Arabidopsis thaliana: one gene and its partners. The protein of the gene in region 4 interacts with the protein of the main gene of each other region in a pairwise test. Each region holds a gene or a part of one and is shown on either strand. Other genes may lie near its edges.

Region 1 (8,593 bases), on a different chromosome or scaffold from region 4:
ATTTAGTGGTTGAATTCACAGCCAATAACATGGATAGAATTTCTTAATTTATTGTTTGCTATTGTTGGTGTTGTTGTCTCTATTATCAATTTATTACATTGTTTGTATATGTCTTTATAATTCGGACCCGTAAAGTATTAACTACTTAATTAAAGGTCCCTATTCTGACTATATATAATAATTGAATTATTGAACTGTTTCATGATTAATCTAAAACTTGTGAGTCTTTTGCATTTAAAATATATGATTGGGTCCATTTGCTTCTATTTTAATAGAAATGGGACCATTGGTTTAAGTGATGCAAACAGTAGAAGGGAAGATATGATCAAATCCTCCAATATTATTTGATTTACATTAATTTAATCTAAACTATATAAAAATTACGTTCTCTAATCTAGTGGATTAATTTAAACCACCAGCTTAGTTTTTATACTTGACGCATTCAATTATGTTGATATGTTTCTCATTAGTGTCGGAGTGTAAAATTGGTGTTGCAAAATAGTTAAAATCATTCTTTGAGTGAGTTTCACGGTTTAATTTCGGAATATTGAACATAGAAACGATTGGTCAAGAGGACCCCAAAACTTTCGGAAAGATATTAAAATGAACCGTTGTGACAAGTAAGTCCGTAAAAGTAGTTTATATCACATTTTAGAAATTTTATCAATTGCCAATTTTTTTTTTGAATAACTTTCAAAAAGATAAACAGACATTTGTTCTTTTTTTTTGTAATAGAAATACTACTTTTAAAAAGAAATTACTATTTGAGATAGAGCTACGATTTTTTTATTCTTTCGATCAACACTTTTTATTTATTTTAAATTAAATTTATCAACTAGTTCTGAGGGTAAATTTATATATTTGAACCTAAAATAGAGATATTCTTGGAAAAAATAACATATAAGTGTAGTAGTTCTACAAATTATACACAAATAAGTGATTGTTTTTGTAACTCACAGCACCATCTTTTTTGTTTCACTCGAGGCCTCGACCAAAAAAATTTGGTTTAACTTTGATTGGGGCGAACTAATATATCTCTCTCACCGGTCCATAGCAATAACAACATCAAAAAGCAATATATTGACGATGATTATATATTCGAAGATGTTGGGTTAAAACCTGCGGGCCTAAATGGGCCAAACATTAGAAAATAAGCCCGTCATCCTTAGAATGTAGAATCCCGAGTTTACGTAGCAAGCAAAGAAGGCATCAATGTATAAGTGTGTTAAGTGTGAAAATTGACGAAAATAGGCAAAAAGGACAAGAACATTTAAAGGCATTGTGTTTGTTATGTTTATGGTATCAGAGTCTTTTAAGAAGTTTTCATGAACTTTTTGATAACCAAAGTGTATCAGAAGTTTTCATAAACTTCCTAAACACGTTTTTAAATCAAGTGTGCATAAAAACTTTGAAAAAGGATTCATTACGCCCTCCTAAGAAAACAACGTTTTTTTTTTTTTTTTGGTGAATAGAAAACAACATTGGAAGACTCGAATGCAAAGAAACATAACGAGATTCACAATCACAATCACAATGTAGCCACAAATCAATAATAAAAAAAAAAGACTAGAAAAATAAAAGAAACAAAACTCTCTTCACTTGTTCACATTGCTCTTTAGTTCTTGACGGTCATAGCTTCGTTTTTACCTTAAATTCTTTCGCATCAGTCATCTTCGTCTTCTTACTCTTGCATCAGTCTCTTCTTCTTCACTTGATCCAGATCATACTGACTCTTTGAAACGTATTTCCCATTTAAAAACTCATCAGAGGATGATAATTCCTCTTCAGTTTCAAGTCTAGTCTTATACTCTTCTGCCCCCGCCTCAAAACCACGTTTCGGTTTTTTGAGTAAACGGGAATCAACTAGAAACAATATGAACTCCTCTTTAAGAGATGCGTGATCGCAGAGAATCACGTCGAGTTGTTCAACCAAATCCACAATATCACCGCCAAACACCAGCTGATTTAGGAACGCACCGTGTAAACCCTTTCCCAAACCTTCCACTTTCTTCATCAACTCAACCGTGCGTTCTACGTCTGATTTTGCCGAGTTACAATCCTTCTCTGTGATAGGTGAATCTAATAGAAGAAGCTGATGGAATTCTTGGAGCAGAGCGTCGTGGTTACGAAGAATAGAAGCGACTTTGGTTTTGAGATCGATGTAACTTAAAGACTTAGATCGATAAGACTTCATTGCATTTAAAAATTTAACGATGATTGTCTTATCATCCAACTCTTTAACTTTTTTCACGAACTCGCAACTCCGTTGAATCTCTTCTTCCGAACAATCCGACGGAGTTTCATAAAAATCTCTCTCTTGATTCTTCATCCGAGGTCTCTTGCAACTTTTCATGTTTGTTCAAATATCTTCTCTAATGGAGAGGCGATTCTAATTGTGATTATATATACACTATTTATAATATAGGGTTATGGTATATATTCGAACTCATCCTATTTGGGTTTACATATATATCCTAACAAAAAGATAAAACAAAAGGACTAAATGATAGAATCGAATATTTGAATAAGATTACTGATATTATTGAAAACCAAAAACAAACAGTACACACTACAAACAAAGCTTACACATTACTGTTGTTAACAAACCGAAGATGATGATGCCTCTGGAATCTAATGTAAGAGTAGTCTAAAAACAGTAACAAAAGTAGGAAACAAAACACTCTTTTGCGGGATTGCGAAATTGTATAAAGAGAGAGAATTACGGGACGTTCATTACCTGGATTGATTGCAGCATGTCCGAGACTGCGATCACGAGGTCACCAGATTTGATCATACCTCTTGATTTCAGTAACGAGAATGTTTTGTTCAAGTTGCTTTCCATGTCGTCTGAGAAGCTGAGACGGAATGGGATAAGTCCCCATTGTAGGTTTAAGCGTCTTCTCACTGAGGTTGTGGTTGTGAAAGCAAAGATCGGGCAGTCCGGGCGACATCGGGAGACCAGTGATGCCATGTGTCCGCTCGTTGTGTAAACGAAAACCGCGTCCACTCCAAGATTGTTAGCTGCAAGTTTTTGGATAGTAAAATGAGACACTAAAGACATATTGCCTTCTATGGAAAACAAAGAACCTAAATTTACCCATTTTAGCAGCTGAGTTACAGATCTCTTCTGAGATTTTGTCTGAAAATGAAGAGCCTATGGCTTGAAGCGGTACAGACTCATGGCGTTTCTCTTCCCTCCACCATCTCTCGATTCTTAAACTGACAGTCCTTAGAACCGTGAGCGCCTTGTCTGGGAATTGTCCCATAGCTGATTCTCCAGAGAGCATCAATGCATCTGATCTTTGTCTTACTGCTTCAGACACGTCGGCAACTTCTGCTCTGGTTGGAGTTGGGTACTCAATCATGGACTCCAATAGCTGTGAAGCGACAATGACGGGTTTGTTAAGAGCTCTGCATACTTGGACGATTCTCTGTTGAGCTGCTGGAACTTGCTCAAGAGGTATCTGAGCTCCCAGATCTCCTCTTGCAACCATGGCCCCATCTGATGCTAGAATAATTTCTTCCAAATTGGTCAGTGAATCGATACTCTCGATCTTTGCAATCACTCCAATTTCCCTGCATCATAGTTGAATACAACATCAAAATAAAACTATAACTAAAGATGGTGAATACATGACGCAAAACCCAATCCCAAAGTAGATCATATGTTTCCTGTACAGTAGTATGATGTGTTGATATTGAGCATGTTTACTTACCCTCCACGGGAACGAGCAGCAAGATAACTTTTAAGGTGATTAATGACTTCAGCCGACTTGACAAACGATACAGCAATGAAATCCACACCTTCAGCAATTCCAAAATCAATATCCAACCAGTCCTGAATATAAAGAATTGAGGTATCATCAGTGAAAATGAGTATGTTTTCCCTCAGGTATCATCTGTTTTGCTAACATGGACTCATCTAGTTTCCAAAAGTGTACATCTTCACCATTGCTTTGATCCCTCCCAAATTTACCAAGTAAAGTGAATCATAATTCAAAGCTTAAAGGGAAGATACAAAATTACAAACCTTGGAAGAAATTGTTGGAAGCATGGCATTACGCTCTCGTACAAGACTTCCATCTCTCCAAAACGTCAAGTTAGCTCGAGGAAGCAACAATCCAGGATCGGTACATAGACACTTAACATCAGGACCAATCTTCTCAATCACTTCAAATCTCACCATCCCACCATCAACCAAAAGTTCATCCCCAACTCTTACATCTACACCACACACAAAGACCAAATGATTCCTATTTCATACGCAGTCACCATAATATTCATCTAATGTTTTCACTTCCACTTTTACATAAACATAATTGCATATACCTTCAGCGAAACCATCGTAGCTAACACTAATGGTACGTTCAGGACGAGAAGAATCAAAAGCTCTAACAGTGAAAGTCCAAACCTCACCATCCTGTAAAAATGTCATCACCACCAAAGCTTAAACATCTAAATCACAAACACAGCAATGTCTACATCGAATTCAAATCAAAATAAGAAGAGATTAAACAACCTCTGCTTTAGCTGAAGCTTCACCACCAAGATCTCCCATATGAATCTCACTACCTTCAGTATCCATCATAATAGCAACCGCAAAGCCTTTCTCCTCATTAAGCCTCCGAACACTACGAATCACACCGCGGTGCCAATCACGCGTACCGTGACACATATTAAGCCTTGCCACATTCATACCTCCCACAGCAAGCGCCTCAAGCTGCTCAAATCCACAAGTCGCCGGTCCGATCGTACAGATCAGCTTCGTCCTCCTCGTACTTCTAAATCCATTCTCCTTAAGCTCAGCTTCCGTCACAGTATCAACCTCAATCCCAGACGTATCAGTCGTAACCGCCGTAGCGACAACGGATCTCTCATCAGACTTCACAGCACCAGTACCGTTAGGTGAGAGAAGTACTTGCGAGGATGATGATGAGGACGATGAATCGAGATCCGGTGAAGGAGATGATGACGAGGAGGCTCTGATGGAAGTGTATTTGATGGTTGTTAGAGGGAAGCGACGGAAGGAGATAGAGGAGAGAGGACGGTTGAATTGTGAGTGAGGGAGATGGAGAAGGTGAGGAGTGTGTGAAGGAGTGGAGAATTGAATAGACTGAGACATGGTTTCGCCGGCGACGGAGGAAGAGAGATCGGAGAAATCGAAATCGAAATCTCAGGACAGTTGGCTCTGAGGAGAATGAAGGCGGAGATATCGAAGTGTGAGAGTGTTGAATTTGGATTTTTTTTTTTTTTTCTGATATGATAGGACTTTGGGAGAGAGGTTATATTTGGAATATTTGTATTTGTATTTATATATATATTCTATGTTTTGGTGCCGTCGAGGCTGTATGTAAAATAAGTGTACCTACCCACCTAAGAATGATCAAATTAGATTTTGTGATTATTACTATTATTATTTTTAATAAAATATTAAATTCGACCAAGAAAAAATAAAGTTAGGATACATCAAATGTAACTTTTCCAAAATTGTTTTGAAATTAGATTATACAAGAGAGGTTTTAAGGACTTTTAGATGCAAACCATGTTTGGAGATTTGGTTCGTATCTACTATATTTCTCCTTTCAAATGATTGAGAGTTTTTTTTTTTTCCAGCTTATCTATTCACTTAGGAAGATGTGTGATAAGAATCAGAGTTTTATTGTGTGTTTTTTTTATTGCGTTCTCGCCAAATCGAATGAACCATTATTTGAAAACTGTATTAGAGGAAGAATATATGGATTCTGTTACAGTGATCAGAAGTAATAATAATGACTAGAGCTTGCCATATTGTAGAGAATCGTCACTAGAGTAGTGGTTTCGCTAGGGAGGACCAGACTGCCGACGAGTACTTACAGCTGAAAAACAAGTGCTCTCGTGTCTCGATAAGAGTGTTACATAACACACATGTTCGATTCAAGTTCACATTCCAAGCCTTCATTGAATCTAATGTAGAGAGTCGATTCCGCATTGCTAGCCATATACAAAAAGAGAACTATCAACTATGATAGGATCTAAAAAATCCAATTAGACTTTTCTAGAACTATTATATATATATATATATATATATATATATATATATATATATATATATTTTAAATCATCGTATACAATAACAAAAATAAGATTCGTTACCAAAATTAGCACAAATTTAATAATAAAATAATCAATATAAGCATTTAATTAACATTTCACACGATCGTATTATAACCATGATTTCAAATTATAATTAAATTTGTTATTTTAAATCCTCAATATAATTTACTTCTATTTAATTTTATATACTTCTGTGGGCCGAGAAAATGTAATTGTTATAATCTAAAATATATGGAAAGGCCCTAAGCCCGTTTGAGTTTTTTTTTTTCTCGTTTAAAAACATCTTTGTGGATTTCAAGTCTTCAACAATGTTCGTCTTTGGCGTCGTGGCTAATGGCGGTGACGTGTTCGGTGCCATTACGGTAGAGGCTGCAGCCGTTTGGGTAAGTAAAAGAAAACATTACTATATAGTTTTCATTTTAATATTTGTTATATTAAAAGTTATTAATAATTTAGATCATCATATTTACAGTTTTGACATTGTTTCCCGCATACTTTTCTTCTTCTTCTTCTCTCCACCCATCTGCTTTAAGGAAGGAACCTCAAAAGCTTACAAAATAGTAGAAGAAGAACTTTTTTTGATCTCCGATTCTTACCTCTGCAATCTTCAGATTCTAGCTGATTCAAGGTTTGATCACAAATTTCCCGATTTGTATATATATAATTTAGATTTGGTTAACTTTATCGAATCTGGGATCGTTGTATCCAAATCTGATCTGGGCTTCTCTGATTCAATTACTTGGGTTTGTAAAATTGATGGGTCAATTTAAAGGATGTATCTTTAGGGTTTCTCGATTTCACTCTGTTTGTAGAACAATTTGATCGTAAAAGTAATGATGTGTTTTATTTGATTAGGATCTTGTTTGTGATAGAAATTGGAGGAGATGGGAGCATTCATGTCGAGGTTTTGGTTCATGATGTTTCCTGCAAAAGAGTATAAGATTGTTGTTGTTGGTTTGGATAATGCTGGTAAAACGACGACGCTTTATAAACTTCATTTGGGTGAAGTTGTTACTACTCATCCTACTGTTGGTAGCAATGTTGAAGAGCTTGTCTACAAGAATATTCGCTTTGAGGTACTGGACTCTTTCTTTATTCATTTGGGTGAAGTTGTTTCTTAGCTTCTTATCTAGGGACGTGTTTTAGAAGTTTGAAACTTTATGGATGTTTCTTAAATTTGCCATTGCCATCTTTTGATTGTGTTATTGTCCCTAGCTATGTTTCTTGCTTGGGTGTGTGCATTTTTCTCGTTGAAAAATGGATGATGTTTTTGTCTAAGTTCTTGTCATGATTGGTTGAGAAGGTGTCAGAAACTCATAATGAACGTTTTCGTATGTGCGATTTATGGTTTTGTATAGTAAATTTTTGTAGATGTTGTTTATCTAGCTTGTTTGTTATACCGGAGGAACTGTTTGCTATTTCCCATTAGCTTAGTTTTTTTGCCAGAGGACTGTTTGGAACATCTTTATACAGTGGTCAAAGTCATGGCCTGAGATGAATTCATCTCTGTTTTATGACAATCTGCATGTGTTCTTATATGTCAAAACTCAATGATGAATATAAACGTAACTAAACTTACTAAAGTTTGAATTGTTTCCTGTCAAAAACTAACTGTTGGACACTGGCAATCGAATATTTGAGGCGATGTTTACTTTTATGATATGTTGTCTTTAGGTATGGGATCTTGGTGGGCAAGATAGGCTAAGAACTTCATGGGCAACATACTATCGTGGAACACATGCTGTGATTGTGGTTATAGATAGCACAGACAGAGCCAGAATCTCTTTCATGAAAGATGAGCTAGCCAGGTTACTTGGTCATGAGGATCTTCAAAACTCGGTCATACTAGTTTTTGCAAACAAACAGGATCTGAAAGACGCAATGACTCCTGCTGAGATCACGGATGCACTTAACCTTCACAGTATCAAGAACCATGATTGGCATATTCAAGCAAGTTGTGCGGTTACTGGAGAAGGATTGTATGATGGGCTCGGTTGGATTGCCCAAAAAGTTACCGGTAAAGCCACGAGTTAAGGGGAAACCAGAACTGAATCAGAGAGAGTACGTACTATTCTTCTTTGTTTCTTTTGTCTCCTTCATATGTTCTTTAACATTGTATCCTCTTGACTTTTATGTAACAAGCTTCAACTATTTTGGTTGCTCTCATTGAAACTGTGTCCAGAATTTTCATATATGGAAGAAAAAAATCTTGTTTTGTTTCAGATTTAAAACTACCACCAAACTCAAAATCCAAACGAACTAAAAACAAAAACAGAGCAACCATTAAAACAAGACAAGACACCATTGTAGCCTCTCTCAGAGCTCACCACAGTCTGCGATAACCACCGGCTTGGAAGGAATCCTGTTCAAAGTTCCAACCTCGTCTTCAATGCTCCTGAGCACGTCGAGTCCTTCAACAACTTGCCCGAACACGACATGTAAACCATCGAGAAACGAGAACTTTTCCAAGACAATCTGGAACTGAGATGCATTGGTGTGG
Region 2 (7,859 bases), on a different chromosome or scaffold from region 4:
TTGGATGTATTAGGAAATTATTTGTATAAAAGACTTTACCAACTTAATTGAATAATGCATTTGATTAAAGAGAGAAAAAAAAAAGAAAATGCTCATGGAAGCAATAAGCACTAAATTTGTCTATGGGATGTAAATTGCGACAGTGAGAGTTGGCTTTAAAATAGTATGAATACAAATACGAATTTGTCTACATGGAATAGTAGTAATAATTCACGTCTCGTCTTTTCAGAAAAGTGAATGCAGAGGAGACAGAGAGAGAGAGAAGGACCACAACGATGGCCTTCACGCTTTTACTGGTTAATACGCCTAGTGTCTCAGTTTTAATTTTAAATACTTAGCCGTTATGATCGATTCTTCGTTATCTCTTCTTAGCTTCAATATGGTCCACTCATTTTGAACTTTGTAAACCCTAGCAGCTTATGAAGTATGAACCATCATATAGTTGGGCCTTAAATTTTGTTTTATAATAGCTATTGCTTTATTGGTTCTGGATAATAGCAATTTTGCAAGTTGCAAAATACCTTATGTGACCGGCCGGTTCACCCCTCTGCTTATCCCTAAACCGATTTACTTTAACCGATCTGATGCTGTATAGCTAAAAACATAAACTTGAAACAGACAGCAGCTGAGTGTGAAACTTAGTTGTCTGTCCATTTTTTTGAAAGAAATGATGTCATAATATGTTGACAAAAAACATCTTCAACTTTGGATATAAATCACTAATTCAGACTTTTTAAAAGTTGCGAACTTTTTTAATCATTCCATGTTACGGATTATTTTTTATGTGTCTGGAAAAATTGGCTGTCAAGGTGATTTCACGTGATAACTAATTTGTTTTTTTGAGGTCATTTGCCATCTTGTGAAAGCCTTTGGAGCCTACTTAAAGATTTTATTTTATTTTTTCTAGTAAAGACGATTGAAGTAACTGCTGTCTATTAGTTAAGATCTGAATCTCCAATGAGGTTATTTATAATTACTTACTCACATTGTGCAACAAAACCAAGCACAATTTGTGGTCCACAAACCTTTATCTGGAGGTTTCTGGTTCAACTTCTCCGGTTTACACTTAAATCTTCGTTTCGTGAGCAAACCCAACGGGGAGCTTCCCGTTGGGCCATGTTTCAGTGGGCTCGGTGTAAAGCCGACATGAGTAACTGAAGCCCAGTAGCATTGTCGCAAATAACAGATTGATTTGTCCGTTGCAAACGGTTTAAAAGCAGAGTACGATACTTTGTTACTTTTAAAAATATCAAATCTAACAATTATGTAACAAAATCAACTAGTGAATAACATAAAAACATAAGATATATTTGGCTTTAAAATCCCCTAAAAATCATCGTTATGGAATAACATCTACTTTTCGACAAAAACAAAGTAACAAAAAAATCGAAGAGTAGAGCTCAAATTGAGTGTAATAAAGAATGAACTCAACAAAATTATTCATTCCTTTATTTTGCAAAAGTGTTGTTTTGACATTTTCTATACACATATTTAAAAGAACTATACTATACAATATTCAACAAGTTCTGCTATAACTAACACAATAAATATAGTTGTGAATTTAATTTTTAATAAACAATCTTTCGTTTTCCAAACTCGAAGGCAACTTGTAATCTTTCCCATTATAGAAAACGAAAGAAACCAAAAAAAAAAAAACATAACCAAAGAAAAATGCATCACACAAATCAAAACGTATTTATTAGCAACAACCAAATATCTTAATATTTTTTATAAGTTACCAATAAATACCAGCTTTCCCATAATACTTAAAAACCCTAACCTTAAAAACTCATTTATTAGAGCATTTTTGATTTTGTGCTATTACCTACTACCCTTGGCTTACTACTAACAACATCACACACAACTCAAACTCACAGAAGCTCATCTATAAACGATTTCCCTTTAAATTTCTCCATTTTGAATCCCATTTTCTCCATCCTCAACCGTTCTGCTTCGATCTCAACCATCTGAGCCCGCGTCTCCTCAATCCGCCGCTTCACTTCCACCACTTCCTTCTCCATCCTAACCAAATCCGTTTCTTGAGCCTCAAGCTCTTCTCTCTTAGCCTTCACTAAACCATCATGCCTCTCTTTCTCATTTTCTACATCTTCTTGAGACTGCGCAAACTCTTCAAGAACAGAACGTAGCCAAGCTACTTCAATGTTCACAGACTCCAAGTCTTTGAGAACCGCAAGCATCTCTTTGACCTTGACTTTGCTCAACTGCCCTACCGGGGTTGACCTAAGTTCCTGCATCAGTGAGCATAAACACTCGAGGTAACGTGATCGCATTGAATCCGATTCCAGCTTACAGTTTTGAGCAATGTCTCCGTGCTTTTCGATGACAGCACTTAGTATAGTGGATGAACCCGATCTGACTCGGTATTTCCCGACAGAGACAAAAGTGTCAGACATTACTGATTCGAGATCGAGCTCTACACCAATCTCATTGTTGTTTTCGTCATCATCATCAGAAAAATCATCATTGCTCTCTTTTCCAGGCGATCTTGGAAGGCTTAGGAAACTAAAGAGTCTAGTTTCGCCGCCTTCTCCAATCTTCCCATTGTGTTCTTGTATTCCCGGTTTAGGTGATACCACTTTGCTTTGATCAACCTTCATAAGATACAAGAATCTTGATGTTTACAAATATGGTAAAGATATGGTGGTCGAAATCATGGAAGAGAGTAAAGGATGAGATACCAAATTGTTTGATGAAAGGGGAATGGTTTGAGAAGGTTTCTTCTCTGGTTTATGGTTGAAGAAATCATCCGGATCACCGGATGATGAAGAAGTGAAAGAATTTTTCGTTTCAGAAACAATCTTCTTCTTCACGGAAGCAGGTGGAGCTACAGAATGATGAACCTTTGGGGAATTACCATTTGCAAAACCGCCTCTGCCGTTTTGATAAGGCCTTGCGGATAGCGGTGTAGGCGGTTGTGAATTCGACTCCTTCTTTTTCCTACCGAAACTCCCTGAGAAGCTAAGAAGCCTTGAACCTGTAACATAACAGAACAAGAATCAGAATCCATAAAGGAAAAGTTTTTAAAATGGCAAAATCAAAAGCAGAAAAAAGTACTTTGCTTCTTAGTGTTCTTCTTGACATGGCCTTGAGCAATTTTCTCTAAACAAGCTGAAGCACATTCATGGAAAGGATTATCCGCATATACGCAATCTGGATGAGCTTTTCTATTGAAATCCATAGCTTTTTGATGAATGGAACAACTGCAACAAAATCAAGATAACTAATCAGCTCAAAGAAGACAAACTCAAAGAACAACACAAGAACTTCAAATTTGTGGTGTCAAAGGACTGAACATATCACATTAAGGGTAAGTAAGTGGTCAAACCTTTACACCTTAATTTCAACAAATAGTTCAAAAAGATTAGACACTAAAAACTTATAATATACAACAACCTCCCAACGAAATTGGATTCCATTCATATTTCACCAACCCTTTATATGATGAAAGAAAAAAAGTAAAGAGGGAGATTGTGAGAAGCAGAGAGAGATTCACCAAAACATATCCATAAAGAAATTTCTTACGAGTAATAGTGAAATTGATCCCCACAAAACCAATCAAATCATAAAATGTATAGGTATAGAGAGATACAAAAAGACGACTTTTGGTTTGTTTCTTCTCCTTAATACTTTCATGGACCGACCATGCAATTTCCAAGTACAATTTTCCAGTGAGATACTAAATTTCAACGGTGGAAGCACTCAGTTATTGACTTAGACCAGAGTTAAAAGGTAGATTATTTTGACCGGCTTGTTTTCTTGAACAGACAAAAACTTCCAAGGCCCACCCTTGTGGATAATATTTTTTTAATAGGTTGAAATTTCGTTTTCCATGATTGTCGTTTGTCACAAAATTTCCTTAGAACAGAGCAAAGAAACAGAGCATATGACAATAAAACAGTATCAATCAGTTTCATCATCGATCATTGAATTAATTCTTAAAACAAAAGCAAACCCACGATTCTGATCGAGATCAAGAATCTATTTGTGGATCAAAGAACCAAACTTTTAATTCACACAAAAATGCAATCAATCAACAAACAGAGAAATAAAGAGAAAGAGAGAGAGAGATATACCAGGAGAATCGGAAGAGGGAGAGAAATGTGATGAGCGGAGAAAAATGAATAAAATGTTGATTTTTATTTTTGTTTATAAGGTATAACAGTTGTGTATATTATAAGGTTCATGTGACATTGTCTTTGGTATAATAATAATATGATGATGATGATGAATTGACCAAAGCCAATATTACCAATTGAAGATAGAGAGAAGCATTTAATTGAAAAGAGGTTGGAAACGGCAATCAATCACACACCTCACTTATCTTCCAGAAGTGGACAACAACGTGGGACGGTTATACAAATACGAGTGAGATTTTTAGAGTCGACGAGAATCGAAAGTAGAAATCTGTAACCACTTAAAGGAAAAGAAATTTAAGAGACAAAAATAAAGAAAGAAAGTTGTCAGTTAAAACGCGTTATTGCGTGTCATTGTTTGCATCACACGTGAGGTTCTTAAGAATCTCAAGTTCTTAACCATATTGCTATATCTCTTGTCTAATTTTATGCATAGAAGTTATCTTTTTTTTTGCTGTCCATTATTACTTAACCAATAAAACTTAGACATCTTTCAATTAATAAATATAGATAATATAAAGTTATGTTTACATTGGATCTCTTAGTATTTTTTCTAATTGTTGTTGCAGATAAGTATAAATCAAATCAAATATATAAATATCATTACTTGCGAATAAGTGTTGATACCAAATTTTCTGATAATATTATGGAGATTGCTTAGGTAAAACATATTTTTATGATTCAATCCGAAGGAAGGAAATTTTCTACCCGATTTGTCAAAGTGCATGCATGTTGATCCGATAGGAAACAACATTTATTATAGAATCTGATAAAAGCATCTTTTTGTTATTAATTGTGTCATCTTTCGTAAGTCGTAATTTTAGTATTAGTACAATATAGTTTCGAAATGCGAGTAGCTTATCCAGAAGCGATAAATGACCATTTCCCCAAAAATACTTTCATCCTTTTTTGTTGGGGGTCAGACTTCATATCATGAAGAAGAAGAAGAAGAAATACATAGAGTCAACTCTAGAGCGTTGGCTTTTAAAAAGACATGAAAAGATTTTGTTAATACTATAATGCACATTCTTTAAATAAATCATTTAGCAAACTACTCTAATACGACCATTCTTTTTCATTCATGCAACATGTCTTTTTCTTTCCCTGTTGTTCTCTAATTTTATTTTACTCTTCATTCATTTGTCTTCGTTGGTGTTTCTTTTTTCTCTTTTTTTTTTCCAGAAAATTAGATATTTATGACCAAATCCATATTTTTCTAATAAAAAATAGAAATATTGTCAGTATACCTGCACAATCGTGTGAACGAGTCACCTGAAACATGATAAATTCTTCTTTCCCCTAAAGCTTACTCGTGTCTCCATCAAGAAATCTTCCAAGAAAGAGACTAGTTTAGTGCATTGTTAGAGAAGTCTCAAATCCTATGACTATGAATCATCAAGCAAGTTACATTGTGTAAGTGTATCTTTCTGTCTTTCATTTTTTTTTTGTGTATACATGTACATTTGAAGGTATACCAAAATCAAGGGAGGGATCTTAAAAAAAGTTTGAAAGCAGCATAGAAAAGTTCTTTATACGATAAATCCATAGATTTTCTTATACGAATTTGGTGAGTTCGGTTTAAAAAACTGAACACCGAAATTCCAGTAACACAACATAATGTATATATAACGATGTGTTGTTAATTGTTATCGTTTTTAATATTACTTTAGTTTTCAAACCGGTTTTAACAGGGTTCAATACTGAAATCTGTTTTAAAAACGGGCGATTTGGTATTTTATTTTAATTCAGGGGACTTGTTCATTAATTTTAACTAAGGAGAAAATATTTCCTTTTTACTATTGTCTTATATAAGACCTAATTTGAGACCTAAAACCTGAGCTTAGTAAACACGGTATCGTTGCTATGGACACCGCCAAAGTAGAACCACCTCAGGAAACGAAGAAGACGATTCTCACAGCTCAAACTCCATTATCTATGTCGATTTCATCACTTCCAGATGAAATCGTTTTAAGTTTCTTAGCCCTGATCTCTAAATCGTACTACCGTTCCCTCTCTTTAGTCTCCAAAAGCTTTTACTCTCTTCTCTCTTCTACAGAGATCTACGCGGCCCGATCCCACATCGGAGCGACAGAGCCTTGCCCGTACGTGTGCCTGTGGTTACCCAAAAAACATCGCTGGTTCACCCTAGCCGAGATTGAGGGTAAACTAAGTTTAGAACCGGTAAGGCTCTCTTCCTCTTATCCTCGTACTCGAGTAAACTCAACCACTGTAGCTGCTGGTACCGAAATCTACAAAATCGGCGGAACTGTCAAGGGCAAGCGATCCAGAGCTGTTTTTGTACTTGATTGTTGGACTCACAGGTGGCGTCGTGCTCCTAACATGAGAGTGTCAAGGGTAGGCGCCAAGTCTTGTTTTTTAGACGGAAATATATATGTAATAGGAGGATGCAGAAAGAGTGAGGAAGAATCCATGAATTGTGGTGAAGTTTTCGACCTAAAGACTCAGACTTGGAATCCGCTGCCTAGCCCTAGTGTTAATTATGCCGTCCATTCGAATCACAAAGTTGCAGTTTCTGGAGAAAGGCTATACGTAATCACCAAGCGTAACAACTATGCATATGATCCGAATGAAGGAAGATGGCTACCAGACGTGGGGTCTGTGGATTTACAACCCATAACTGGACCTTGGTCCGGCGGTATAGAAAAAGTTATGAAACCTATAACTGGACGACCTTGGTGCGTTATAGGAAATATAATGTTTGCTGATCATGTGTGCAGGAAGTACACGTGGTATAGCTCAAGTCATCGAGCGTGGCAAAGAGTTATGGGTTTGGATGTTCTATACGATAAGCGTGGTTGTGGCTACCGTACGATTCAGTTAGTTAACTATGGTGGGAAACTGTTAATTATATGGAGCGAGTGGATCATGATTCTAGACGGGTATTCCCTTATTCGCAGCCAAGAGAAGGAAATTTGGTGTGCTGTGATTAGGTTGGAGGAGCGTATGTCTTATTTCGGACCCCAGATTTGGGGGGAGGTTGAGAGCTGCAATGTTGTTGTGCCTAGCGTCCCCAAGTCTTATCAGCTCTCAAGTTGCCAATGTGTTTCGGTCTGAAACTCATCTTTGCTTTCAACACATTATTTGTGGTTTTGTTTCTAAGATTGCTCACTGCAGTTTTTGTTTTGTTTTGATTTCTTGCTATTTCCTTTAAATCAGAGACAAGCTGGCAAGCTGTTTCATAAGATTTTTAATATCGTTTTCTAGGTGTTTGATCTTGCTAATTAAGTAATTTTTTAAAGATCTTTTAGAACTTTTTTTAGTTAGTTGTTTAGAGATGGACCTCATTAGATTGTGCTTTTGGGGTTAGTTGACTATCTCTGTATTGATCTGAATGCCAACACCAAATCCAGCTCCATCCTCTTTTCTCTTCCCATTTAAACCACTCTTTCAAAACCACTTCTCTTCGCATTAGCAAGTTTTATCTATCTCTATCTATCTCTCTATCTATCTATCTCCTTCTTAAGATTTTTTGCGATTCTCTCTTCTTCATTGTAAGCTCTAGCCAAAAAGCTCTCGGAATTTTTCGTCTTTGAAAAAATCCAGAGATATTCTTTGATTCTCTCTTGTAGCTCTAAAAGCTTATCAATCCTCGGCTCCTCGCTATAACTGTTAGCTTAACCGAATGGTCCGGATTTAAAATTTCTAATTTAGTAACAGAACCATCCAGTCAAACCGGTTAAACCC
Region 3 (7,524 bases), 5.7 Mb from region 4:
TAGAATCAAGAAAAGACAGAGGAGAAAAGAGGGGGAAGACGACAATACAGAAATAACTTAAAACGGTGCATACCTCTAAAACACAAAGTTGAGCAACATTGTTTCGCATACCAAATTTATCAAACTCTATATGTTGATGGTCTAGAAGTTCAAATCTGCATTCACAGCAGAAATATAACATAAATGATGAAACTAGTAGAGTAAGAGTCTAATACAAAATAAATAACATCGAGAACAATAGAAAGCAAAGCTTTCAGCCTTGAACAATATATTGTGAAGCCAAGGTCAAAGCTGATAACATAACACAACGTGAACCTACCATTAACAATTTCGAAACATTCAAAACAGATAACTAGAAGATCTAATTTATCTCGTTCCAAAAGAGAGATATTCCCTGTAGACAATTCAAATGGCTAGATTCCTGATCCTGACTCCAGCATATAGAGACTTCCCACCACATTAAAAATGATCCTAAATAGAAAAAAACTGAACTTACAGATTCTCTTTCCAAAATATAGCACAACCATCACTCGCTTCTCCAGTCCGACTCTAAAAAATACTAAATGTATGAAAAAGGCACCATTGCATACAAGGTAATAAAGCTTTTGACTCGTATATATACCTTGTGAACACCTCGAAATCCTCTATTTTTAAGAAGAACATCTAAATCATCAAAGCGGTCAACCTCCTGCAATAAATTTGGACATGAGAATGCAATGAAACTTAAATAGTGTAGATCTAGGCAATCCCCTGGAACTTGCCTGAAGACATAAGATGCTTGCATTGTAACGACTAATCTCCTTGCATATGAGATGTTTCCGTCTACTCCACTCTAAGTGCTTCCGCGGAACATTGTAATACAAGTCCATGTGGTTCGACGCATTGTCAACACCAAGTAGATTGTACGAAACTAATACTAATTTATCTGAAGAATTGAAAAGGAGATATCAAGTTTTTCATACACATAAGATAAAAATGTGTTCAAAGTACGGAATGTGATACTTCGTGAAGCTAATAAAAGCATATAAGTGCATTATTCAGTGTGATTGCAATGCACACAGACCTGCTAGATTTTCAAAATTGTTTGCGGAAAACACCCATTCGCGCTCAACGGAACTCGAGATCTTCTCCTTAGTTCTCCGTCGCCGGCGGAGAGAAGACTTACTATGTCTGACAGGTTTACAATCACGCTGGCTGAATCCCGGCGTAAAAGAACGGTGAGGTTTTAAGGTTATTGACTCCTTCCTATTCGATTTCTCGTATACGTTCTCCGATTGTTCCGAAATCGAGTTACGCTTCCGCTTGGTGATGGTGATTGAGTTCGCCGTCGTGTTCTTACGCTCGTATCCGCTCATGTCAATCGTAGCAAGTCGGCGGCGCGTGAGCTATGCGTCAACCTTGTGAAGTTAACCAAATTCAGTCGGTTGAAATTCACGATTTTTACTGGTTAACGATTAAAATACGTACTTGATAACCCAAACCGGTTGGCTTAAGTAGTTGCCTAGTTGGGCTCTTTATGTTGGTTTTTTTAATTGTGTGATGGGCTATTCAGCCATAACTAGGCCTTAATGGCTTTTATTTCTTGCTTCATTTGTAAATTGTTGGAAATGGCATGTTCTAATTTGAACTTGTTTCTTGTTTTTTTTTTGTTTTTTTTAATTACACTTGTTTTCTTTGTAACATGTCTTCGCTACGAATTTTTTAGTGTTCGTTATTATCACACATTATGGCTTTTTTCTCCAATTCATTTGATAAACAAAGAGTTTTCATTTGATATATACAATAAATTACTCAATCAATCAATCTATAAAATCATAGTTGCCGGCTACAAGTCTACACAACCATCGGCCCCAAGAGTTTCAGTTCATTATTCAGTACATTACGACAATTACTTCAAAGGTCTTAATTACAAGATCTTTAAAGTGTTGATTAAAGTAAATCAAATCACGTCAAAAGTGACGTCCTCTTCACGAAACGACCTTTGATTCGAGGTCTCTGCTCAGCGTTAAGTTTCCGAACCTCATATCTTATTTTCTTTGAGAACAACCTCGTCCTCCGCTTCTCCTTGTACCTCAAAACCCTCGCCTCTCTCTCCCCGTCCGATCCTCCTCCGTCTCTCCCTTGCTGACGTGTCACCGATCCGTCGCTCGACATCAATTTCTCGTACCCACCCACAACATGAGGCAGACACGTGTTCCCTCCCAACTGGATCAGTGAACTTTATAACGTTATTTCGTCTTTTATAATCAATATATATCAGCTCAAAGTCAACGGAACTCGACACTACTAAAGACTAACATAGAGATGAGAGATATAGCTAGAGACACCAACTTACCATGCACTCCGGTTTGATTCCGGTTTTCCACGGCGAACCGTGATTATCCCAAGCACTAATCACAGCTCCATAATCTAATCTCAGAAACAAACTTGTCTTTCTATCTTTATCATTTGATGCTTCTCTATCACTATCCTTTGATCCTCCATTTTCACACTTGGCTTCTTCTTCTTCTTCATCTTCATCTTTCACCCTCTTCAAATCCTTACAATTAATCTCAAACCCTACTTTATTCTCTTCTTTGATGACTCCAACATCGTTTGGTTCCTTGAATCCCAAGCAAAGTTGTTCTTCCTCAAGTAAACTCTCCACGTCCATAGTGAGATCCTCAAGATCCATATCCAATGGCACGAACCCCATAAAACCTTCATCGTCCATGATTGCCTTCTCGACTTCTCCTAATTCTCCATTAGTAGTAGTGTTATTGACTTCATCAGGAACTAAGCAAAAGCCGTTTATATCATCAATCAGCATGTCTGAGAAAGGATCGAAAACAGGCACGCAACAATTCAGACTCTCCTCGGTTTCTTCTACGGAGGAGAACGAGAAAAAGCCATCATCTTCGTCTCCACCAAGCTCCGGAACAAGAGGATCGTTTGACTCGATTTGCAACAACTTCTCAAACGCACAACTCTTGCTCCTAGGCGTTCTCGCCTTTCTCCTGAATCCTTCGTACCATACCGACGTCGTTTTGTCTGCCGTCTCCGTCGGCGAAGATGATTGTAACCGGACACGTTCGTGCCGTTTCGCTAAATGGTTAGCCGAGTGGATCGAGGCGTCGCAGCTTTGGCATAGGAAAGCGTCATCGGCTGGACAGTACCAACTAGCACGTGATCTCTTCATGCACGCATCACAGCCACGCGCCGCCATCTTCTCTCCTGTCACGCTCGCGGTTCGGCTCTCTACATCGACCACCATTGTGTGTGTATATTACACAGTGAGAGAGTTGCTGAGATGGAGAGAGAGGCCTTGAGAAGAACAAAATACTGTAATATATATGGTTTTGCAACGAATTCACTAGTGTGTGTGGCGTCTCGATTTCCCGGCAGTATTTTTCATTTTTTTCAGAATTATTATTTTTTCATTACCTTGTGTGGTCTAAATTATTTGGAGTGGAGATAGAAATATAAATAAAAACTCATAATTCTATTCATAGTTTATTATGTACGTGTACATGGTATTTTAGAATGAGGACTTTTCACGAGTTTTTTACTTCAAATTTACAATTTTTGTTTTCATTATATTACGTACTTTCAAATAAATGTTTAGAACCATATACTTTTTTTTTGAAAAATTAGAACCATATATATACTTTATTCTTAAATAAAATTTTGAACCAATATGTCTGTAATTTTGCGCTCTCTCCGTTTTCATGATATAGTAAAATATGATCCTCAAATTCTTAATTACGATCTAACCGCTAGTTCATGTATGGTACTAAACTTCATCATTCTTTTCGGAAAATAAGTCATAGTGAAATACAGTTTGGTGAAGACACTGTTATAGATGGTGTTTTTTTTTCGTTGGCAAACACTGTTGAAGATGGTTAATATCAAATAATAAAATTGATCTTGTTGAAATATTAAAAGACAAAAAAAAATGAAAAATTTAAGTTCTGTGTAAAACTAGCTATTGGTGGTTAGTCAAGAGGAAACTTATAATGGAACCCACTGGTGATCTGATTCTGCCTCCTTATTGGTTGAAATATACTGTCATCTCCGTTTTTGCACTCTGATTGGCTCAAGTTCTTCCATGGAGATTCTTACGTGGACCCCACATTTTCAAGTTTTGTTTTGAAACTATTTTGTTTGTTGGTGCGTTTGCATGACCGCAACGCAGCGTGATACTTTAAACGCAGGAAGTTACTTTTCATCTTTTCTTTTCTTTTTTTGTATAGCAAACGACATTCTTTTTTGGAACTTCCAACAACACCTGTGAAGTTTTGTAGAACATTTAACATCCAACTTCTAATGTTTGATGATAGAAAAAAGGATTATATGTCACTAAAAATGTAAAATTTCTGCTTTTGTGATCTTAGAGATGGGTGTTTAATCAGCACCTAAAGATTCAAATGGGTCCTAAATTTAATTATTATCATTTATTGTGGATCTAACATAACGGAAATGATATGAGTAATGGAATTCTAGTCCTTTAAAGAAAGGAATTGATTGTGGTGATATAGCGACGTGACAATATATACAAATCAAGAGGTTGTGACTTCATCGAATTTTTGGCAATTTTGCAGTTTACGCCAAAAGAAACAAGGAAACAAACAATTTTACGCCACATGACCCACGAACAATTGAACATCTCTCTATCATAGGACTCGTTCCTCTGCTTTACACCACCATTTTATTTATATTACTTTATATGGAATTTACGCAAGTTATGTGACATGATATACAAACCTTAATTATATCACCATTCACCACCAAGTTGAAATCTGCACATTTTTGTGATACATGTGTAGAATTAATAATATAACCTATTGACGAACGAGTGAATTTCGGAAGTGGAGGCACAATAGGCCTTGATTGATATGAGAGACCACTTGCTAACATAGATGCGGGAAATCTTTTTGCTTTCATACGTCCGATTGCTCTGCGTTGAAGTGTGATAGATCGGTACTTGAAACAGTTAAAATTATCCCAACACTAATTAATAAGTATTAAGTAACAACAATAAAAACAAATATTCCTATATTAAAGCTCGATATGATAAATAAATGTATCACTACAACGTTTTCCTTAAATCTGAAGTATTTTCTTGTCTATTTTGAACGAAATTAAAGATCAATTTACCACTACTATATTTTTGGTTTTGTTTTCATAACCTATGGTTTTAAGTATAAAGTATGCTAACTCTATAATATTGTAGACGGTGGAAGTAAAGTACCACAACACGACGTGTGCCCAAATCATACATGATACATATTAAAATGTTCCGTTGGTCGTCGTACCCCAATTATATGTTACAAGTTAATCGTTTCTTAATCCAATTTATAATCTGTTAAAATACTCGTTAATTTTAGGCAAGGATTTGCCACGTGTAATAAACCCGTATAAACGATTGGAGAAGCCAAAAAAGACTTGTTAATTACTGCGCGTCCTCCTACATTCGCGCTCTCTCCCTCCGTACAACAAACAAACCCCAATTTTTTTTTTCCTACTCTGTATAGATAATTTTTAATCATTAGAGAAAAATTAATCGTTTAATTAGTTTACTATTATCCGCTAATAATAATCAAAAGATCAAATCAACCCACATTCCCATCACGTCTATTTTCTCCGTCTCTCTGTTTTCTTCTCTCAGGTTTTAGACCTCCTCAACGCTCGTTTCCAAGCTTTCCCGATAAAAACATCGTCTTGATTTTCTAAGGTAATGAGAACAAAGATCGCATCTTTTTTTCTTTCTCCTCATATCTTTGTTGCCATGTTGCGATTTTGCTGATCGCGACTTTGAGCTATGTTTTGACTTGGTTTTTCAATGTTGAATTTTTTTTTCTCTTGTTGCACCAATGTACCCTTCTGGTAGGTTCGTCTTTAGTTTTGTTTCCTTCTGGCTAGTTTTGTTTTATCAAGTTTTGTTCGATTGTCTCACGTTGCTGTTTTTGTCTTAATCCCTCAATTCATAATGCTGTATAACGGTTAAATCATGTGAATTTATACTGGGAACTAGAAAAAATCTCATCTTTGAATCCCTAGATTAATGAAATTAATGGAAATGTGATTGTTAGGATTTAGTATCGGCTTTAAATATGGAAATATGAGAAATTTCCTTATAATAAATTAAGAATTCTCAAATTCATCACAGTAATCCCTGACTCTGGTTACTATGTTTTATTGTCAGCTAAGATTTTTTATTACAGAGTAAAGCTGATTACAATGATGACTCTGAGATAGTTATGTCTAGCAGTGCCATTTGATCATGTTCTTGCACGTCTTTGCATGTAGGAAAAGACAAAAAGAACTAGGCTTTGGTTTTCTTTTCATCTAGATTGCTCTTCTATGTGTGTGTGTGTGTTCTTATGAATTTTGTCTAATGCTCATTTTCTTTCCCTCAATCAACTATGTTTCAGGAGTTTTTGCTAAAGAATGCAGCAGTTTTGGGGTTTCCAGGTGTTTCCATAAGTTTGCTTTGGACCTCGAGGCGTGATGAATCCTATGCGTGATCAACCGGGCAGCCCTTATGGAGATTCAACTCCTCGTAGTCCGTTTTCTCCCTTTTCTCCATTATCTGTAGATGATAGGCATAGAAATCATGCAGATACAAAAACTCCTCGTAGTCCTTTCTCTCCATTTTCTCCATTATCCGGAGATGAAAGGCACAAAAGTCTGGCAGAGTCCAAATTTCAGCAAGCCCTTGCCAGCTCTGGCCAATTAGGTACTCTCTTTTTTTTTTTGGCAAATCACTCATACCATTTGTCTCAATGCGTGCCTACTTATGTATGTGTATGTATAATATTTAAATGTCTTCTATTTACGGCAGATCCATTATCTCCTGGATCAATGCATCATGGAGGACACAAGTTTCATGAGGTTTTCCAAATGAAACAGGGGCGTTATGATCTTCAAGCTTCAAAGATTTCTGAAATGATGAAATCAAGTAGCTTAGATGTATTTTCTCTATCTTGTTAATGATGAAACTATAGTTTTCTTTTGAAGTCTATTGATAATGTCGTGGGCTTGTGTTTGATGCAGAATGCTCCTACGCAGTCATTGCTAAGCGTCTTGAATGGAATTCTAGATGAAAGTATCGAAAGAAAGAATGGTGAAATCCCTCAGGTACTTGAATGCCAACAATTATTAAGATCATCACGTCTATAAGATACCTTCCTTTGTGCTTTTACTTCTTGGGAAATGTTTTGACAAAAGCTACAATGAACAGCGTGTGGCATGCCTGTTAAGAAAAGTCGTGCAGGAGATTGAGCGGCGTATATCAACTCAAGCTGAACATCTAAGAACGGTATGATTTTGTTTACTTAGGAAAAATGCTTCCTAGCAATGTTCAAGTTCTGGTTTTTGTGAATAATTTCGTTTTTTTGTTTATGTGCAGCAAAACAATATTTTCAAAACTCGCGAGGAAAAATACCAGTCAAGGATCAATGTCCTTGAAGCCTTAGCATCAGGAACTGGTGTAGAACACGAGGTATCATTTGTTATGATCTTGTCAGATAACATTTTACTCAT
Region 4 (6,919 bases):
TTCTATGTATGTTTTGACCATTGATTTTTTGTTTTCTGGATTAAAAAAAAATTAAAATTAAAAGTAACAATTTATTAATCAGATATCTTTTTATAGAGTCTAAAAACATTGGCTGGCTTCAGTTGGATTTTCAGATTTTTTATTTCAAGGATATCTTAAATTCTTGATTCATAATATCGGTTCAATTTTTTGGTTTGGTATGGGTTTGATGCAAATGCCCATCCTTGTTGGTTTACTTAGCTCATCTATGTTATACTATTTGCTAAAAAAATGAAAAAAGTAGTTATAAAAAAAAAAGACAATGTAAATTCAATTTGATTTTCCATTCAAAGAAATATAAATTTTGAGAAAGTCTACTACTTCTCTGAAGAAAAATAACTAATAATCTCAAATAAAATTGGTTATTTTCTTAAAAAACCATCCCATAAATGCATGAAAGGATGTGTACCTACCAATGATCAATCCAACTCAATGCAATTCTTACAACCATTTATACCTCACATAACCATCTAAATCAAATGTTTTTGGACTCATTTAACTAAAGTTTTTTGAACTTTATTCCAAGAATTTGTGTAAACCAGTAAACACCAACAAAAACGTATGTTTTTACAATCTATTTTTTGATTGATTTCTTCACATGGAGCACATATATACATTAACAGGACAAAAAAGGGACTTAGTTCTTAATCTCTGCATAGTTCTTTTTACATCTTAATCTATAAAATTTTCATCTCCTATGTAAATTATAACCAGAAAGGAACATAAGAGAAGAGTTTATTCAATAATGTTTATATCTCTTTCTTCTTCAGATTCCATCTTCTGAATGATTCACACACAGAGACTACGTTTCTTGTCCCTCACGTAAAACCCAAACATCAACTCGTAGCTTCAGAGATGCTCTGCAATGATGGCCTCCATGTTTTTGATCTCGATGAAGCTGAATTCGTTAACACTGAACGTTGCTTCTCATCTTTCGTTTCCTATACAAAGAAAAACACAAACCCATTAATTTTCATAATTTTATATTAATTTGGGGAAAGAAATAGAGTAAAATCTTTAAACTAATTACTTTAATTATTCGAGTGAAAATTGATTCTTGAAGCTAAACCATATCTTAAATTCTAAGTAAAGATTCCGTACCAGATTCTGATTCTTGTCGGATTCTTCATCAATCTTCTTCTCCGATGATGGCTTCTTCTTCTCCTTACTCGTTTCACTTTGGTGTTTCTTTGTTTTCGCGTACTTCTTGGCTCTTAAAACCTTCATAACCTCTGAAAACAAATCAAACGCTAATTTAATCAGAAACCCATTACAAGAACACAAACAGACACAAGCTAAACAAAAACAAATATACAAGAACAAACCTTGTGAAGTGATGAGACGATAAGCATGACCAAGTACAAGATTCTCCGTTGGTCGGAGAAGTTTCACGCGCGTGAACCTCACAACCTTTCTCTCACTCTTATCATCTGTTGTTGTTGTTGTCGCCGGAATATTCTTCTCCGGCAAAGGAATAATAAGAGAAACGTAGTGACCAGGATACATACGCATGATCTCACTAACGGATACAGGACCGTAATATCTATCGATCTTGCCATCAGGATGTTGTAGAACCAACGCAGCCGCATCAACCGCTTGACAATTTCCCATCTCTTACACAAACAAAAAGAATCTCTGTTCTTCAAAAAAATGTTATGATTAAAGAAAAAAAACAGAGAGTAGAATGAGAGAGTTGTGTGAAGGAAAGAGGAAGAGAGAAGAGAAGAGTCTTTTTCGGGACAGCGTGAAGAGTTAGGTCCACCACACTGGCTTTGCTTATAAAACATGTGAAACCCAAAAAACAATTGTTATTATTTAATTTTGGTCACTTTTATGATGTTTTGTGATTATTTAATTGGACTGTCATTTGGGAGTTGATTAATGATAAGAATAATAATATTATTTAAAGATTTGTAACCATATTGTTGCAAATTTGACTGTGGTTGCCTGGGGCATCTCTGACGTTTACTTTATTTAATTTTTGTTATTTTTGGAGTTTAAAAATTTAATGGAATAGAGTAATAGGATGGTCGGAAATTAAATAGTTGATTTGAACGGGTGGGTGCCGGCACCGGAGATCAGGGACCGATGATTTTGACATTGTTTTTGTTCTTACTGATTCATATAATTTAAGTTGCATTTAATTTTCTTACTCGTTTTAGATCATGTGATAAGCCAATAAACCATAGTTTTTAGCAGTTAATCATCGAATGTTGTAGCGTTTGACTTTTATTTAGGACTTGATTATACTACTACTGTCAAAGAATAACTTATCGTTCCGAAGTTAATAAGTTTCTTTTTGTGTAATCAAATAAAAAATATCAGTTACATAAATTGCACTTTCTGAAAAAGAAACGTAAGGTGTTGTCTTCTTTTGTTTAATTTATAATTTAATATGTTTGTAACGTTTGTAAGAATGGAGAAAAATATTAGTTTGAAACGGCAGATTTTCAAAGTAATATTTTTCGAGTCGTTTTTCACTTGTAAGTTGTAACGTTTCAATTTCGTAACGATAGGTAACTAATATTTTTTCGATATTTTCTTACAGAGGTTTATTTTTGTCCAACTACCCATAATTCGATATAAACATCATGCATATACTTGAAAAAATGATGTTAAAGATAGTTAGTACTGATTTTTTGTGTGTATATTTCCCTTTTGCTCATTTGTATAGATAACGTTTAACACTGAAATTATAACAATGGGTACCAAATAGTACTATATTAGTCATACTGATATGAGTTCATCTTCAAGACTTCAACCACCGAAGCTTATGTATTATTCTGCATATTTTCAAATTCGACCGAATATAACATTTAATGCACGTTGAACTTGGACCATGGACAAAACGATATGGTATATAGATTTAGACGAATATAAGAAAAAAAATCAGAGATAGCTGAAGATAACCTAACTAATAGATCCAAAAAATCAATTTTGGTACCACTCATGAAGAATAAAAAAACAAAAATAAAATAATACTTTAGAAATTGGAGACAAAAAAAAAGCTAGTATTTTTTTTTGGGCAAAGAAATAAACAAAAGTATAGGTAGATAAATAGCCCAAAAAAAAAAAAGATAAATAAAAACAGAAATTGTGGATTGGGTGGACAAGGGACACTGCAACTTCTTATCTCTTTTTTCTCACTTTCACGGACTTAAATGCTTTCTCTTGACATTTTATTTTTGTTTTTATTTACTTTTGCATGATTCATTCGGTTAGTACCGATTTGGTTCTTTTGAACTCCGGTTCATGTCGCAGATTGGTTCAGGGCTAAGAATGGGTCGTCCCATTAGTGTTCTTGAATAGCAAATATAATGTACCCATTCCTTCACGAAAGAACCCATATGGGAAATTCACTCCCATCTGAAATGGACAATTGTGACTACTATATTCGTTACCAGCAAAATCTACTTTTGGTATTGAGAGATTATCCACAATGCAAGAAAGTTTTTTCGACCCCTATAGCTTCTTTTTTTTGTTGTTGTTGTTGTCAAACTTCGACCCCTATAGCTCATTAGTTATTTGTTGTTTAGTAACTATATTATACGTTCAACCACACAATGATTGTCATTTATCTCTCTTTCCCCTAAAGTATTTGTTTTCTTACATCATCATCTTCTTTTATCTTATAAAACTAACGTTATCTTTTCCAGGGGGAAAAAAATATCTTAAAAACACCACTTTAATGATGACTACGTATGGAAGAGATATGCTAGGACTTAGGGTTTGATTATAAGACGAACTAAAGTGAGATTTCTAGGAATGATTATATATCTGATTATTATCAGTGGAAGAATACTGAGAAATCTATAAAGTACATAGTTCTTCCGTCTCAATTGACTCAAATTTTTATAGGGTTGTTATTGTACTTTTCTTAAAGTAAATTTTAGATTTAAAATTTAAAGACACGGGACATAAAGATTTCAGAAAACCATATACGAGGTTTAACAATTCAAAAAGAAATATGAAAACCAACAACAAAACCAAGAGGTGCAAATATATAGCTTCAACTCGACAAGTAGTGAAGTAATAGTCAAGTAATGTTCTATTAGCTCGTTATAACATGAGTAGTAATTATAGGGCTCATTTAAGGATTTATTAAAAAACAATCTTATCGCACATGTATTACAACCACTTTTACTAAAAGACTACAATATTTTATGTTATATGATCTCAAACTTTTTTCTACTTTGTAATTAGAAACACTAATTAACCTAGTGAATCTAAGTTTCTCTAATATATGTGAATGTGATACGTCATGTAAATTGCAGTGGCTTATAAGATTCATATGGTAGTTTTACATTTCGAACAACCGGTAAATCAACCATCACTGCAATCCCAAATTTCAGCCACGCTAAGTAAATGTTAAAATGTAATACATGAGATACAGAGACCATCGTGCGATATTTTATGTTACTATACACATTTTATTCAAATTACGATTTTAATGATCACAGTTATTACCAAACGATATACAGTAACTATGGACCCATTTTCGAGTTATTGGTCCGTAAAATCAAGAATATGCAAATACTCACATGACGTAATCAATTCCTATTATAAATAGAACCGCAAATTCGGATATCCTAAGGAAATATCTTCATGATAAAGTAATTTACCTGACTCATGATTATCAGTAGTGTGCCATCAAAATTATATTTTAAAATTGCAAAAAATATATATTAAAAAGTGTTGTCCTTCGTGGATACATCCTTACGTACGTCCCTACCTAATAGTTTCACCATTCATTGATTTTGTACAAACCTTTTTTGTAAAACAAATAATAATAGCTAAAGTTAAAATTCAGATTTGCATATATACGGAGACCTAATCACATTGACGTTTGTACGGCGACCAACACGCAAAAGAAAAAAGAAAAGATTTTGGATCGCAAATTGTGTCCTTTGGTTCTTCATCCACCCAACATCACAAATTATAATAATCTTTTTTACTTTCGTTAAACACAAACAAAACCAGCCTATTCTTCCAGAGCATCTTGGACTTGTTGGTGAAATATCTTGAGATGATTAAATAGTATATAGGAATAATGAAAATAAATTAAGTATAATTAAATCCCGAGGATTTAGCTTATATTTTTAGTTTAAGACTTTAATTGTTGACATGTGTGAACACATGATCTGATACAACGGTCAGAGTGTGTGTGTGTGTGTGTGTGCCATGTGAAGGTGTTGGAAGGTCTTTCGTCTCTCAACTTATTAAATGTCTTTGACGATTGAAACTTCATTTTCAAGTTTGTTCTCTACATCGATATAATTGCACATCCCAATCCATGACCAAATACTAATTAATTCAGCCCTTTAAATCATCTAATTATGTTATTTTAACCACAATGAATCTTGTAACATTGTAAAACAGGTGTGTTAAATCGATCTTAACTGGACATATTTTTGTTTTGGCTGGTCTTCGTTTCGTTGTTTACAATGCCGCTGTAAAAAATTTGAACCTACTTTTTCTTGGTAAATTTTAGGAACTTCAACGGGTTGATCTGATATCGCTATACTTACTTATAGTATTCAAAAATTTATAACAAAAAATACAATGTTTTGTATTATTTCATATATACTTATCCATTCTAAGTAAGAGCAAGGTTGTTGACAAAAAAAAGTAAGAGCAAGGTCATCTTTTAACATGCAATATTTCAATTATCACAGACCATGAAAGAAATTTTGTCTTTAATGTTTTTATTTAAAAAAAATAATTGAGTTTTGGTCATTATTTTTTATTAAAAAAATCAATGAACACATCGATTATTAATAAAATCTTTGCACATAACGTACAAATAATTTGAGAAGGATATATAAAGTGTGAAGCTTAATTATCATTAGAGGTTGTGATTACAATATATATACACGAGAGATTAGGGTAATACTAGTTACAATTATACCTTAACTATACATAACCTCTATACACCTCCTCAAGATGGAGGCAGTTGTATGACTCCAATCTTGTTATTTATTTCTGTGAAACGTTGGCGGGAGAGAGGCTTGGTAAGAGCATCAGCGAGTTGGTCGTTGGTGGAGATATGAGCAACACGTAGTATCCCAGCTTGAACATTGTCTCGTATGAAATGATAGTCCAAGGCAATGTGTTTCATACGAGAATAAAAAACTGGATTGGCGGAGAGATATGTTGCTCCGACATTATCGCAATAGATGACGGGAGTAGTGGGCAATGGTATTCCAAATTCAGTGAGAAGTGAGATGACCATCGAATTTCGGAGCCTGCGTTTGCAACTGCACGGTATTCTGCTTCGGTTGAGGATCTAGCGACGCCACGTTGTTTTTTGGATGACCATGAAATGGGATTTCCGCCAAGGTATATGATGTATGCGTTGGTGGAAACATAATCCTCATTATCACCTGCCCAATCAGCATCTGAGAAGCCATGAAGTGTTAACGGGTTTTTGGCGCGAAGAAAAATACCATTCGATGGAGTCCCGGCAAGGTAACGGAGTACGCGTTTCATGGCCTGCCAATGTAGATCGGTCGGTTTGTGCATAAATTGTGAGAGACGGTTGACTGCAAAGGCAATGTCAGGTCTTGTGAATCCGAGGTACTAAAGGCTGCCAAGTATTTGTCGGTATCCTCCGGGATTGTCAATGGGAGTGCCAGATGTTAGCGTCAGCTTCGGTGTTGGCGACATTGGAGTGGAGACTGTTTTGGCGTCCAACATCTTTGTTTTGGTAAGTAAGTCAAGAACATACCGACGTTGCATTAAGTGTAATCCTGCTTTCGTCCTTGTCGCCTCGATTTCAAGAAAGTAACTCAGCTGGCCCAAATCTTTTAAAGAGAAGCGATTAGCCAAACATGTAATAAATTGAGCGATAAGATTGGAGTTACTTCCTGTGATGAGAAAA

The links.
Region 1: the proteins of AT1G60010 (region 4) and PKP-ALPHA interact in a two-hybrid assay, tested with the Arabidopsis thaliana proteins (one large-scale study listed by BioGRID).
Region 2: the proteins of AT1G60010 (region 4) and AT4G35110 interact in a two-hybrid assay, tested with the Arabidopsis thaliana proteins (one large-scale study listed by BioGRID).
Region 3: the proteins of AT1G60010 (region 4) and BBX16 interact in a two-hybrid assay, tested with the Arabidopsis thaliana proteins (one large-scale study listed by BioGRID).

What each region holds. Positions count from the first base shown.
Region 1 is NC_003074.8:8,135,898-8,144,490, reverse strand, and holds PKP-ALPHA (Pyruvate kinase family protein), read right to left. Parts: upstream 5,307-8,593; 5' UTR 5,123-5,306; coding exon 4,520-5,122; intron 4,421-4,519; coding exon 4,330-4,420; intron 4,225-4,329; coding exon 4,031-4,224; intron 3,839-4,030; coding exon 3,717-3,838; intron 3,577-3,716; coding exon 3,098-3,576; intron 3,022-3,097; coding exon 2,720-3,021; 3' UTR 2,439-2,719; downstream 1-2,438. Other genes in the region: AT3G22961 (Paired amphipathic helix (PAH2) superfamily protein), read right to left, coding at 1,682-2,353; ARFC1 (ADP-ribosylation factor C1), read left to right, coding at 6,978-7,169, 7,768-8,127.
Region 2 is NC_003075.7:16,710,789-16,718,647, forward strand, and holds AT4G35110 (phospholipase-like protein (PEARLI 4) family protein), read right to left. Parts: upstream 4,004-7,859; 5' UTR 3,529-4,003; coding exon of another isoform or gene 3,515-3,528; 5' UTR 3,438-3,514; coding exon 3,415-3,437; exon of another isoform or gene 3,222-3,414; coding exon 3,076-3,221; intron 2,996-3,075; coding exon 2,700-2,995; intron 2,613-2,699; coding exon 1,872-2,612; 3' UTR 1,627-1,871; downstream 1-1,626. Other genes in the region: AT4G35120 (Galactose oxidase/kelch repeat superfamily protein), read left to right, coding at 6,018-6,850, 6,893-7,229.
Region 3 is NC_003070.9:27,774,943-27,782,466, reverse strand, and holds BBX16 (B-box type zinc finger protein with CCT domain-containing protein), read right to left. Parts: upstream 3,484-7,524; 5' UTR 3,254-3,483; coding exon 2,336-3,253; intron 2,206-2,335; coding exon 1,945-2,205; 3' UTR 1,658-1,944; downstream 1-1,657. Other genes in the region: AT1G73875 (DNAse I-like superfamily protein), read right to left, coding at 74-155, 497-549, 623-688, 762-925, 1,064-1,355; AT1G73860 (P-loop containing nucleoside triphosphate hydrolases superfamily protein), read left to right, coding at 6,490-6,718, 6,824-6,951, 7,036-7,119, 7,223-7,300, 7,391-7,483.
Region 4 is NC_003070.9:22,094,785-22,101,703, forward strand, and holds AT1G60010 (D-ribose-binding periplasmic protein), read right to left. Parts: upstream 1,837-6,919; 5' UTR 1,651-1,836; coding exon 1,365-1,650; intron 1,272-1,364; coding exon 1,141-1,271; intron 981-1,140; coding exon 876-980; 3' UTR 501-875; downstream 1-500.